Rattus norvegicus: one gene and its partners. The protein of the gene in region 2 interacts with the protein of the main gene of each other region in a pairwise test. Links are inferred from orthologs where the notes say so. Each region holds a gene or a part of one and is shown on either strand. Other genes may lie near its edges.

Region 1 (3,741 bases), on a different chromosome or scaffold from region 2:
CTAGCTCTGTAGGTAAGGCTGTTCTCGAACTCAGAGATTCATCTGCCTCTGCCTCCTGCTGGGATTAAAGTCATGTACCACCACCACCGCCCTAGGAATCTTAGTTAGGGTTTCCATTGCTATGGAGACCCCATGACCAAACCAACTCTTATAAGGACAACATTTAATTAGGACTGGCTTACAGGTTCAGAGGTCAGCCCATTATTATCAAGATGGGAACACGGCAGCATCCAGGAAGACATAGAGCATTTCACCTCTTGTTCTGAAGGCAGCTAGGAGAAGACTGGCTTCCAGGCAGCTAGGACAAGGGTCTTAAAGCCCACCCCACAGTGACACACCTACTCCAACAAGGCCACACCTCCTACTAGTGCCACTCCCTGGGCCAAGCACAGACAAACCATCGCATTAGGGAACCCAAATGATCTTGGCAAGTGGCGTGCGGCCTGAAATCTATCTTGAAGCACTGTTAGCACTGAGCTTCTGAAGGGCCACTAGCACAAGTATGGAGCTGAATTTCCAATTAATTTAAGCACAAGTGACTGTGGAGACTTGAATTTAAGACTGTCAGCCTCTAATTCCTCAGAGGTTACTTATTTCACAGAACTGGCCCCAGTGGCCATCCTTCTCACTCTTCCCTCCCCAGACATACACGCGGGCACCTTTACACACACAGACATCATCATTCTAAGCATGGTATTCTGATGTTGACTTATCCTTCTCTCCTTCCTAGAGACCCAAATCTTAGATTTCAGGTCCCATCTCCTTGGAGGCCAATGGAGTTGTCATCTTCTCACAGCCTTAGGAACGAACTCCCCTCTGTATCCCCATTCGAGAAACATGGAAGAAAAGTCTTGGAAGACTGCTGCTGGCCTGCTCTTGTATCCCAGGATCCCAGGTGTTCAGCATAACCTATTAAGAACATACTACATGGGGGGCGAGAGGGGGGGAGGGCTGGGGAGATGGCTGAGTGGTTAAGAGCACTGACTGCCTTCCAGAGGAGCCAGGTTCAATTCCCAGCACCCACACGGCAGCTCACAACTGTCTATAGCTCCAGTTCCAAGAGGATCCAACACCCTCTTCTTGCCCCCCATGACCACTGCATGCACATGGTACATGCAGGCAGGCAAAACACTCATACACAAAATAAAAATGTAAAAAAAAAAAAATTAAGACATTCTACACAGTGGGTACTATGCTAAATGTCTCATTTACAAGGTCTCACCTTCACTATGGAAAATTAAGGCACAGACAAGTAAGTACCGTGTCAAGCAACCAAGACTCTGTGCCAGAGTTAGAATTTCAACTCTTTCCAAAGAATGGGTTCTTTTTTTTTTCTTTTTTTTTTCTTTTTTTTTTCTTTTCTTTTTTTTTTCCGGAGCTGGGGACCAAACCCAGGGCCTTGCGCTTGCTAGGCAAGCGCTCTACCACTGAGCTAAATCCCCAACCCCCAAAGAATGGGTTCTTAACTACTACACGATACTGTTTGGGGGCTCACTCACTCAATCTCAATCAAGATTTTTTCATGCCTACTATGTGCTTCATGCTATTCTAGCACTGGGAGTCAAGAGCTAATGCATATGTCCTCCTTTCAAAAGCCTCCAATCTCACAGAAGACCCAGAAATAATTATAATCAGTGGGGTATGATTTGCCTGTAGAAAGAGTATTATAGAAATACAAACCCTTAGTACCCTGTGAAGGAAAGTTTTCTGGAGATGGGATGGGCTTATAAACTTGATTAATTTGGTAGGAGTAGGCAGCCTATCTGAGCAACAAGAACCAGAAACTGGGATTAGGAAGACAATTTCTAGGCAAAGAGAACAACAAAGGCAAACACAGGAAGACATGGCACAGTGCATGGAGAAGCATTAAGTGATAGTGGAACCTAAAACTGAAGGCAGAAGGGACCAGAGACCCCAACAAGCTCCAGATAAAGCCCCATGTGACTGGCTGACAGCTGAAAAATTGTACGTTTCAATAGATTTTGAAATTCAGCAGTCAGTGAATGCTTGCTTAAAGAATAGGAGGTGTGGGGACGACATATCAGCAAACAAGTCACTAACAACCAAGCAGGAATTGGACAAAGATTTCCTTACAAAGATCATCTTGGAAAAAAAAAGTATAAAAACCAAATATGCATTTCTTTCCCACATAAACAATTCTGTAAAAAGATTTCTATGACAGAGGTCTGCAGTCTCAGTATTAAGGAGGCACAGGCAGGATATCCAGAAGTTTGAGGTCATACTACTCTACATACTGTAAACCATCTTGAAAAAAAAAAAAATGTACAAGGCCTGTATCCCATCACTGGGAGGTAGGGACAAGGGGATCAGGAATTTGAGGCCAGCTGGGCTAGTGGGGATGCTGGGACTCTTACGAAATCCCCAATACATATCGACTCCTCCAAAGTATTCTCCATCAATTCCAAATAGATGTAATTTCAAAAGCCCCAGCTTTGTTGAATCAGTCTCTGCACTATATGAAAAAGGCCTTACTGCTTCCGGCATTATTAAGGCCCGCTGAGGACACTGCTAGGGCGCCTCAAGTTACTCTTGGAAGGCGTTTCTGGCAGAAACAGAACAGCCCCGTTGGCACGGACAGTGTCCACTGTTTATCTATAAATCTTTTCAAGCAGATCTTGCAGCCAACTAGGTACAAGAGTCGGATGGGGATGGGGGGCGGGGAGTCAGAGAGGTCGGAACAATGAGGCGGAAACCAAAACTCTGAAACACGCCCACCTGAACAGGACGAAAGGGTGGGGCTTGGTCCACCCAGAAGGAAACCTCGAACTCCACCTTCAAGGTATCCGCTCCGGGTTAGCAGCCCCGGCCAAACGCCCCTGCTGGCTTCTAACCCAACCAGCTACGAAAGCAGGCCGACCACTAGCTTACCTCGACTGCACACTTACAAACCTCCACGCTACTCCGCTGCGCCTCGCCGCTTCCGGTGCTGAAAGATGATGTCACAAACTGCTGCCTAGCAACTGGTGATGATTTCAGAGTTTTTTCCAGAATTGGCCGAAACGTTCTCTTGCCGGATACCCTGGTCGAAAAGTGGTCGTAGCAGCTAGTTGTTTCCCGTGAAGATAACTCCTTTGCCTTCTCTGAGGCATCTAGCTGTCATAGCCTCCCAGGGTCTGAATCCGGAGAGATTTCAGACAGCAATCTCCTGTGGCTTTTCTATGCAGCCAAGTCGTCTCTTAGCACTTCCTCCTCAGGAAGCTTGCTATATGTTAAAGCCATCTTTGAAAGGGAAGGAACGAGGTTGGAGGTAGTGAGACAAATTCATTCTGTAGCCCAAATTGGCCTTGAACTCGCCAGAATCTCCTCTTGCCTTAGATTCCCCAGTGCTAGGATTGCAGGTGCGAGCTACCAAACACAGCTTTGAAGCCATCGGTTAAGCTACAAGCTGGAGTGCTTTACCAACCACTCACGTTCAAATTACACTTTCCTTCTCTAAGGAGAAAAAGACTAAAGAGAGAGACAGAGGAACCCTGCTAAGATTTTTTTTTATGATGTCTTCACTAAATTAACTGAGGGCAATCAGCAAGGCAGGAGGTTGGGATGACATATTTGTACTGATTTTTATTGCAATTCCAGGACGTTCCCTAAAAGTCTTGTATTGTAAATCACCAAAGACTTCTTGGCAGATGAAAGAATTCCTATCTCGTGAGTACATCAGAGTGTAGAATCTGAAACGCAGTAGAAACTGAACCTTTCAGAGTCTTTTTTTTTTGGGGGGGG
Region 2 (3,494 bases):
TGTCTCTTAAATTAAAGGCCTTGTTGGAGAGGACAGCACAGAAACAGCCTTGACTGTAATTATTGTACAGATATTTTAATAGCATAAAGTAAGTATATTCCTTTTATTTTGAAACAAAATGGTCAGACACTGCCTTTCATGTGTTTGTTGCCTGTGGCACTCTTTTTAAAAAAGACTGTTACATATTAAATAGTGTACATATATATAAATATTACCTCTTTGTGTACAGTTGTGATAGACCAGACCGAAAATTTTATTTTTTGTGTGCTTTTTATAAAAAAAATTAATACACTAAAGAGAATCTTGCGGATGTGATTGTAATGTACCCATGTAACTTATTTACTTTTGAATGTTCTGTATCTTAAGACCTTTTATTAAATAAGGTTTTAAAAAAGTCATTGTTGAATGCCATGTTCTTATAGGGGTGTTTTTGCCAGCTGGGACTGACTGATAGGGAACTTCTCCCTTTCTGAGCCTTAAGCGGTCTGTTTTGCTATCCTGTATACTCAGTAAGGACAAGAAGTTTGCTTGGCTACAAAGAGAAGTAATCCGGTGGGGGGGAGGGTGTGCACACACACACAAACTTTAGGTTTTGACACACACACACACACACACACACACACACACACACACACACACAAATTTTGGACAAGAAAGCCAAGTCAGACACTCAAAGGAACCAGTAGGTGGAATCCTCTTTTCTAGTCTTATGGGGAGGAACGGAGAAGCTGCAGACTGTAATCTGGTGGTTCACGGAAGTCAGATTTAGTGTTTTCACAGCAGAGTGAATGCATAGAATGGATATGAGACAAGTCCGTCGTGGTAGATGCGTATCAATAAGGCCAACTTAAATCCACAGCAAAATTAAATAAAACAAAACATGCTTAGCAATATTGTTAAGGAGGAATCTGGGAAGTACGAGTATGGGGGAGGGGTAAAAAGAAATGCACCATCATAGAATAGACTACTCAAACCCCTTCTTGGCACCATAGCAACCGCCAGATCCTCTGGAGCCCGCGCATCTCGCGTCGTCATGGACACAGTTGTCACGGTGACACTGGGGGAGGCGAGCGGACCGGTTCCGCCCTCCAGTGCAGCTGCACGGAGGCCGTTGCTGGAGCGCGCGGCCATAAGCGCTGAGCAGAGCTGCCTCCAGCCCGGTTCCTCCCTCCTTCGCGCTTCCTGCCGCCTCAGTCCCCGGTGCTTCGAGTGCCGCCTCTCTCGGTGTAGCTGAGCCACGGCCTCGAGTAACCCTCGGCCGCCCGCGGGCCAGGGAGAGGTGGGAGGAGCTGCCACGCCCCGCGACCGCACCCAGTCATCTCCAGCCCGCAGCCAACCGCCTTGAGCCCACCTTCCTCCCCTTCTCAAAGCAGTGACGCAAGGCACAGCCGCAGCCAGTCCACTCCTGCCCGGACCAAAAGGGCGACATTCGAGTGATAGGCGGAGTGTCCCGTGGCACTGACTTGGGACCCGGAAGGGACCAGAAGGAACTCTGGTGTCTTTTGGTAATTGTGGTTGCTTGAAGCTTGTCGCCCCCTGGCCTACCGGGGGAGGAGAGCATGTTGTCCTAAGCCCAACAGCAGCACCGTGAGCCAGTCCAAGCACAGTCTGTAGAACTGGCACTCTTAATAGTTGGGCGAAATGGCTATGACACTATTGGAAGACTGGTGCAGGGGAATGGATGTGAACTCTCAGAGAGCTCTGTTGGTCTGGGGGATCCCTGTGAACTGTGATGAGACCGAAATCGAAGAGACCCTCCAAGCTGCGATGCCCCAGGTATCCTATCGAGTACTGGGGAGAATGTTCTGGAGGGAAGAAAATGCGAAAGCAGCCTTGTTAGAGCTCACTGGGACGGTGGATTACTCCCTGATCCCCAGGGAGATGCCAGGCAAAGGAGGGCTCTGGAAAGTAGTGTTTAAGCCCCCCACTTCCGACGCGGAGTTTTTGGAAAGGCTGCACCTCTTTCTAGCTAGGGAAGGGTGGACGGTGCAAGATGTTGCTCGTGTGCTTGGGTTTCAGAACCCTGCTCCAGCCCCAGGCCCGGAAATGCCAGCAGAGATGCTCAACTATATTTTGGATAATGTTATTCAACCTCTTGTTGAGTCCATATGGTATAAGAAGCTGACTTTGTTCTCCGGGAGGGACATTCCCGGGCCTGGCGAGGAGACCTTTGATTCCTGGCTGGAGCACTCGAATGAAGTCATAGAGGAATGGCAGGTGTCTGATATAGAAAAGAGACGGCGGTTGATGGAGAGTTTGCGAGGCCCGGCTGCCGATGTCATTCGCATCCTCAAGACCAACAACCCTGCTATAACCACGGCAGAATGCCTGAAGGCTCTTGAGCAGGTGTTTGGGAGCGTGGAGAGCTCTAGAGATGCACAGGTCAGATTTCTGAACACTTACCAAAACCCAGGAGAAAAGTTATCTTCTTACGTTATCCGTCTGGAGCCTCTGCTGCAAAAGGTAGTGGACAAGGGGGCCATTGATAAAGATAACGTGAACCAGGCTCGCCTGGAACAGGTCATCGCTGGGGCCAACCACAGCGGGGCCCTCCGAAGGCAGTTGTGGCTGACTGGGGCTACAGAAGGGCCTGCACCCAACCTCTTCCAGTTACTGGTGCAGATTCGAGAGGAGGAAGCCAAAGAGGAGGAGGAGGAGGCCGAGGCTGCCCTTTTGCAGCTAGGCCTAGAGGGGCACTTCTGAATCCCAGGACTGGCCAGGCTGCTTTTGATATTCCTGTGAAGTTTTAGTAAGCCTGTCCCTTAAAGTAAACAGCCAGCCTCCTCCTGCCTTTGTTTTGTTTTCTGAGGAATGGGATGAGAAAGTCAGGCCCGCATATTCCTGTAGCATTCACAGAATTGTGTAATTAGCAGGAGTAAAGGCGGTTCATAGTGCTACAGTGATGCCAGCCCTCCTGGTGACATCTCTGACAGCTGTGAGAAACATGAAGCTGCGATCCTTCCTGTCACGATGTTTGTGAAACTGCAAGTTCTGATGCTAAGTACATGCCCGGTTCACAGGCTGTACACTACAAACTCTTGTATTTATTTGTTACTAACACTGTGGACAGCTTTACTGTAAATTGTTGCTAATTTGTATCCATGGAAAGAATGCGACTTTTAGATATTACTCATCTTGAAAATGCAGATTTCTAATTCCTCGTGGCTCAACACTGGAATCAGTTTCCCTGAAAAGTATCCCCAGATTAGAAGTGGCGGGTTAGAAAGATGTGTTTTTATAGAGTGCACAATAAATCCTTCACAGTGGAAGATACAGATGTAAGTCATAGGGGGAATGGCCCTGGACAAGCTACACTTCCTCACTTCAAATATTTGTCATTATTGGTCATATTGATGCTAAGGGTTCTAAGTTTGAAGTTATTGAATAGATGGATACAAAAAAAATTTGAAAATTCTCTTTTTTCCTGACATGCATACAATTTTTCAGCATAATTTAGCTTCACATACTTTTTTCTCCTGACAAGGACTTTTGCT
Region 3 (3,748 bases), on a different chromosome or scaffold from region 2:
GGGGGAGGGCAGCGCGGCCAGCCAGGCAAGGAGGGGCGGGAAAGAGAGGAGCAAAGAGTTAGTCCCTTCACTCCAAGATCCACCCAGTTTCCCTCTCCCAGAGCGTGCCCTGGAGATGGGGCGGGGAGGACACTGCAGAAGGAGGGGACCAGGGGCGGACTCAGGACCGGCCCTCCTGCGGGTCCACGCTTCTTACCCACGGCGTGCGCGCGCGGTTCCTCGGGCTCCTGCACGGCGGGTGCCTCCTCACCAGCCGGGGGGCTGGCCGCCCTGCCCTCCTCCGACAGCCCCTCTGCAATAGGCTGCAGCCCAAGTCGATTCTTCTTCCTCCGCGGAGGGACGGGAGGGGGAGGCGGTCGAGGCGGGACCAAAGCCCACCCAGCCGGAGGGTCCCGGGGCGGGACTGGCGGCGGCTGGGCTCGGCTTCGCGACCGGAGTTCCTTGAAGGTGGTGACTTCTCGGGGAGGTGCCAAAGAACCTCCCAGGGACCCAGTCGGCGGGAGCTCAGTGTCGGGCGAGAAGACTATGAGCCAGTCGCTGCGATCTTTCTTGGCCTGCGGCACAAGGGGCAGCCCCGGACCCCGCTTGCGCTTCTGGGCCAGCTCATGGAAGGACGTGATTGTCCGATGGGGCACCGGCTCCTGGCTGACGTCACCTCTCCATCCCCCATCAGTTTTCCCTGCATCTATTTTCGAACCAGAATTGGTGTTCAAACAAGAATCCAATTTCCCAGATTCCGTTTTCAAGCTCGAGTCTGTATTTTCGTCTGTTTTCCAACCAGAGTCACTGTCCTCGATGGTTTTCCACTCAGTTTCAGTTTTCTCTGTGTCGATTTTCCAAATGGGGTTGATTTTCCAACTGGGCTCTGCTTTCCCTGCGTCAATTCTCCCATCTTCGGTCTCTGAGAGCTCAGAGGTAGCAAGATCCTGTTCCCCACTGTCTTCCTCCTCCTCCAAGCCTGGGGAAGGTAGGTCCTGGCAGGTGGTCAGGGCGTTGCAGTTCGAGTCCAGGTCAGGTCCAGGTGGAGAAGATATTCCGGAGCAAGAATCAGGAGAGCAGCAGACGCTGTCTGGAGAGCAGGTGCTAGGACCCGCGGGAGCCAGAGGAGAGCCCAGCTCCAAGGGGAAGATGCTGGCCTGAGGGTTGGCATCCTCATTACCCGGCAGGTCTCGAGAGTAGACTGACACTGGAGACTCATCAGGGCTAAGATCTGAGCAGGAGCTGAGAGAGGAAGAGCATCCCGGATCTGAAGGCGAGGCAGCCTCTTCCTCCTGGGAGGGGTCCTGCTGGTTTTCTATGCTGGGCCCATGCTCCTGGCAGCATCTGCAGGGCACAGCTGGACTGTTGGAGTTGGCGTCCACAAGGGTCCCGCTGCAAGGCCCCCTGCTTTCCTTGCCCCCTGTGTCCCCTGGGGGCGGGGGTGTGCTCAGAGGCCCCTCTCGTAGTTCAGGACGGCGGGACAAGTGCAGGCCTAGGGAGACGTGCTGGAGATGGATGTGATTGAGGTTGCAGAGTAAAGCCCGCTGAGGGGACAGCATGGTGCCGAGGACGACGTATGGCTTTCAGAGAACCGACAGGATCCAGCGTCTCACATCCACCTACCTGACAGTACAGATGCAGACCTAGAAAACAGGGGCGGTTGAAACCTAGCTACTGAGATCGCCGGTAAGGGCACGGGAGGTGACTGAGGACTAGAACAGGCCTGGGAAAGACCTGGCTGCTTTGGGAAATATTTAAATGAGATTCAAATCACCATGAACAGGCCATTAGTTTGCACTGCAGCATTTGCAGGTGGAGTCGAACATAACCTCCAGGGAACGAAGAAAGGAGGGTCATGAGAAAATGCGGTTGTACTGATCTCCGCGGGGGTGCGAAGCTTGAAAAAAGTGGGGCCCAGAATATGGGGGTGCGATGCTTGAAAATCGGGTCCAGAAAACACCCTGATTCTTCCTAATCAAGTTCTGTCCTCCAGCTTACCTCTGGGAGGAAGGAGACCCCGCCCAGATGCTCTAGTGAGGTGGATGGTCGGGAATGAGAAGAAGGGTTTGGTTATTAACGCAGGAGAGGGGTCTGGGCTGGAGGAAGAGGAAGCATTCTGCTTGTCAGCGCTGCATCTGCCCCAGTCCCCATTCAGTTCTAGCCTTCAGCCTGTGTCCTCACCCACCCGCAACGGCAAGGTTTATCCATTCACTCTGAGCTCGTCTCCATCTTCCACCCATCACCCGCTTCTTTATTCTTTTTTTCACTGCTCCTCTCCCGTGCCATCCACCCATCTATCCATCCATCCATCCATCCATCCGCACCCTCAGACCGAGCCCTCCTCACCGCAGTCCTCCTGGAATCGCTCCGGCCGGCCTTGGCTCGTCTGCGTCCCCGCCCAGCGGGGAACAGAGCGGAGGGGAGGGGCACCAGCAAAACCCAGTGGCTGCGCAGCCGCACCCCTTCACGCATGGGCGTGGCATAGCTCAGGACCGCCTCCCAACCTCCACGCAACACTTGACGCTGTGCCTATGTCACCCATCTAACAACGCAGCAGCTTTGGGTCTCAAGGAATTCTTTTGCCAACCTGGATTCCAAGTTGCCCTCTCCCACCCCTCCATTTTGAACTCCTGACACAAGCATAAAACCACAGGATGTTGAACAATAATTTATTGAGACCCCTCCCTCGCAGCCTCTACAATTCGAGGTTACTTTCTCCGCTTGTAGATCTTGTTTGCTAGTTCCAGGAAGATGGATGGGGGCAGGGGCGCGGAGCACTGCTCTATGAGACTCTTGAGGCGGTTGTAACTGTCTTCCTCGTACTTGAAGAACACACTCCGCAGATCCAGCTCCTCGTACAGTGCTTTCACCCGCGCCACTTTTTCTGGGTCCTTCTGCCCATAATTCTCCTGGAAGCAGAGAAACAGCTTTTTTTGGCTGGATTCAAAGGCCCTCACAACTCCTACATTCCAGAACACTGGCAAAGCTCTCTCTCTGGGAATCCAATCTCAAGCATTGCCTCCCCAACCCCAAAGTTCAGGCATTGGCTCAGGATTCTACTTCCTCTATGGATTCTCAGCCTCGACACCACTGACAGTTACTGGGCATGTGTTGTCTGGCACTGTACAAAATCTTCCTGGTCCTGCCTGCTACCTTCAGCACATACACCAAATTGCACTGAGCTCCCAAATGTCTCCTGGACAGCAAAATCACTGTTCTAACCACTCCTCCCCCATCCCCTCTTAGCAAAGGGACATGCCACCCCCAAGCCCCACTTGGGCACCTCTAAGATCTGGCGCTGCTGAGGAGTGGCTCGTAGCAGACACTGAACCACCAGCCAGCTGCATTTGTTGTCCTGGATGTCAGTGCCGACCTTTCCGGTCACACTGGGGTCTCCAAAGAGATCAAGGTAGTCGTCCTAGGGAGCAGGCAGAAAGGAGAGATGAGAAGCTCCATGCAGTGTGGCTGGAGGACCTGTGTACACTGCTGTCTGTAAGCAGGGAAGGGCAGGTAGAAGACAAGGCAAGAGCCTGTGATTGGACAGTGAAAAAGAAAAGTGGGCCGAGAATTCTAGAGACAAAGAGCACAGGAAGGGGAGAAGGAAGACGGAGGAAGAGGACCACCCGGATCCGTGTAGCTTTAAACAGCCACGGGTAACTATGAGTATTATATAAGGGATAGATGACTACAGGACATCTTATCTAGGTGGGCCCTTTATATCAGTATCAATTGGCTCTGAGTTTATTATGTGGGCGTTTTGTGGGGTGAG

What was found.
Region 1: the proteins of Pnma1 (region 2) and Aptx interact in binary tests that used the Homo sapiens proteins (3 or more experiments, as listed by UniProt). The two-hybrid records come from large-scale screens. The link is inferred for Rattus norvegicus from reciprocal best matches to the Homo sapiens genes PNMA1 and APTX.
Region 3: the proteins of Pnma1 (region 2) and Rusc1 interact in binary tests that used the Homo sapiens proteins (3 or more experiments, as listed by UniProt). The two-hybrid records come from large-scale screens. The link is inferred for Rattus norvegicus from reciprocal best matches to the Homo sapiens genes PNMA1 and RUSC1.

The regions. Positions count from the first base shown.
Region 1 is NC_086023.1:60,615,917-60,619,657, forward strand, and holds the start of Aptx (aprataxin), read right to left. Parts: upstream 2,875-3,741; 5' UTR 2,737-2,874; intron 1-2,736. UniProt on the Homo sapiens protein: DNA-binding protein involved in single-strand DNA break repair, double-strand DNA break repair and base excision repair.
Region 2 is NC_086024.1:109,512,821-109,516,314, reverse strand, and holds Pnma1 (paraneoplastic antigen Ma1 homolog), read left to right. Parts: upstream 1-1,147; 5' UTR 1,148-1,641; coding exon 1,642-2,703; 3' UTR 2,704-2,933; downstream 2,934-3,494.
Region 3 is NC_086020.1:176,792,557-176,796,304, forward strand, and holds the start of Rusc1 (RUN and SH3 domain containing 1), read right to left. Parts: upstream 2,426-3,748; 5' UTR 2,326-2,425; intron 1,623-2,325; 5' UTR 1,539-1,622; coding exon 197-1,538; intron 1-196. Other genes in the region: Fdps (farnesyl pyrophosphate synthase), read right to left, coding at 2,688-2,888, 3,263-3,397. UniProt on the Homo sapiens protein: Associates with the adapter-like complex 4 (AP-4) and may therefore play a role in vesicular trafficking of proteins at the trans-Golgi network. Signaling adapter which plays a role in neuronal differentiation.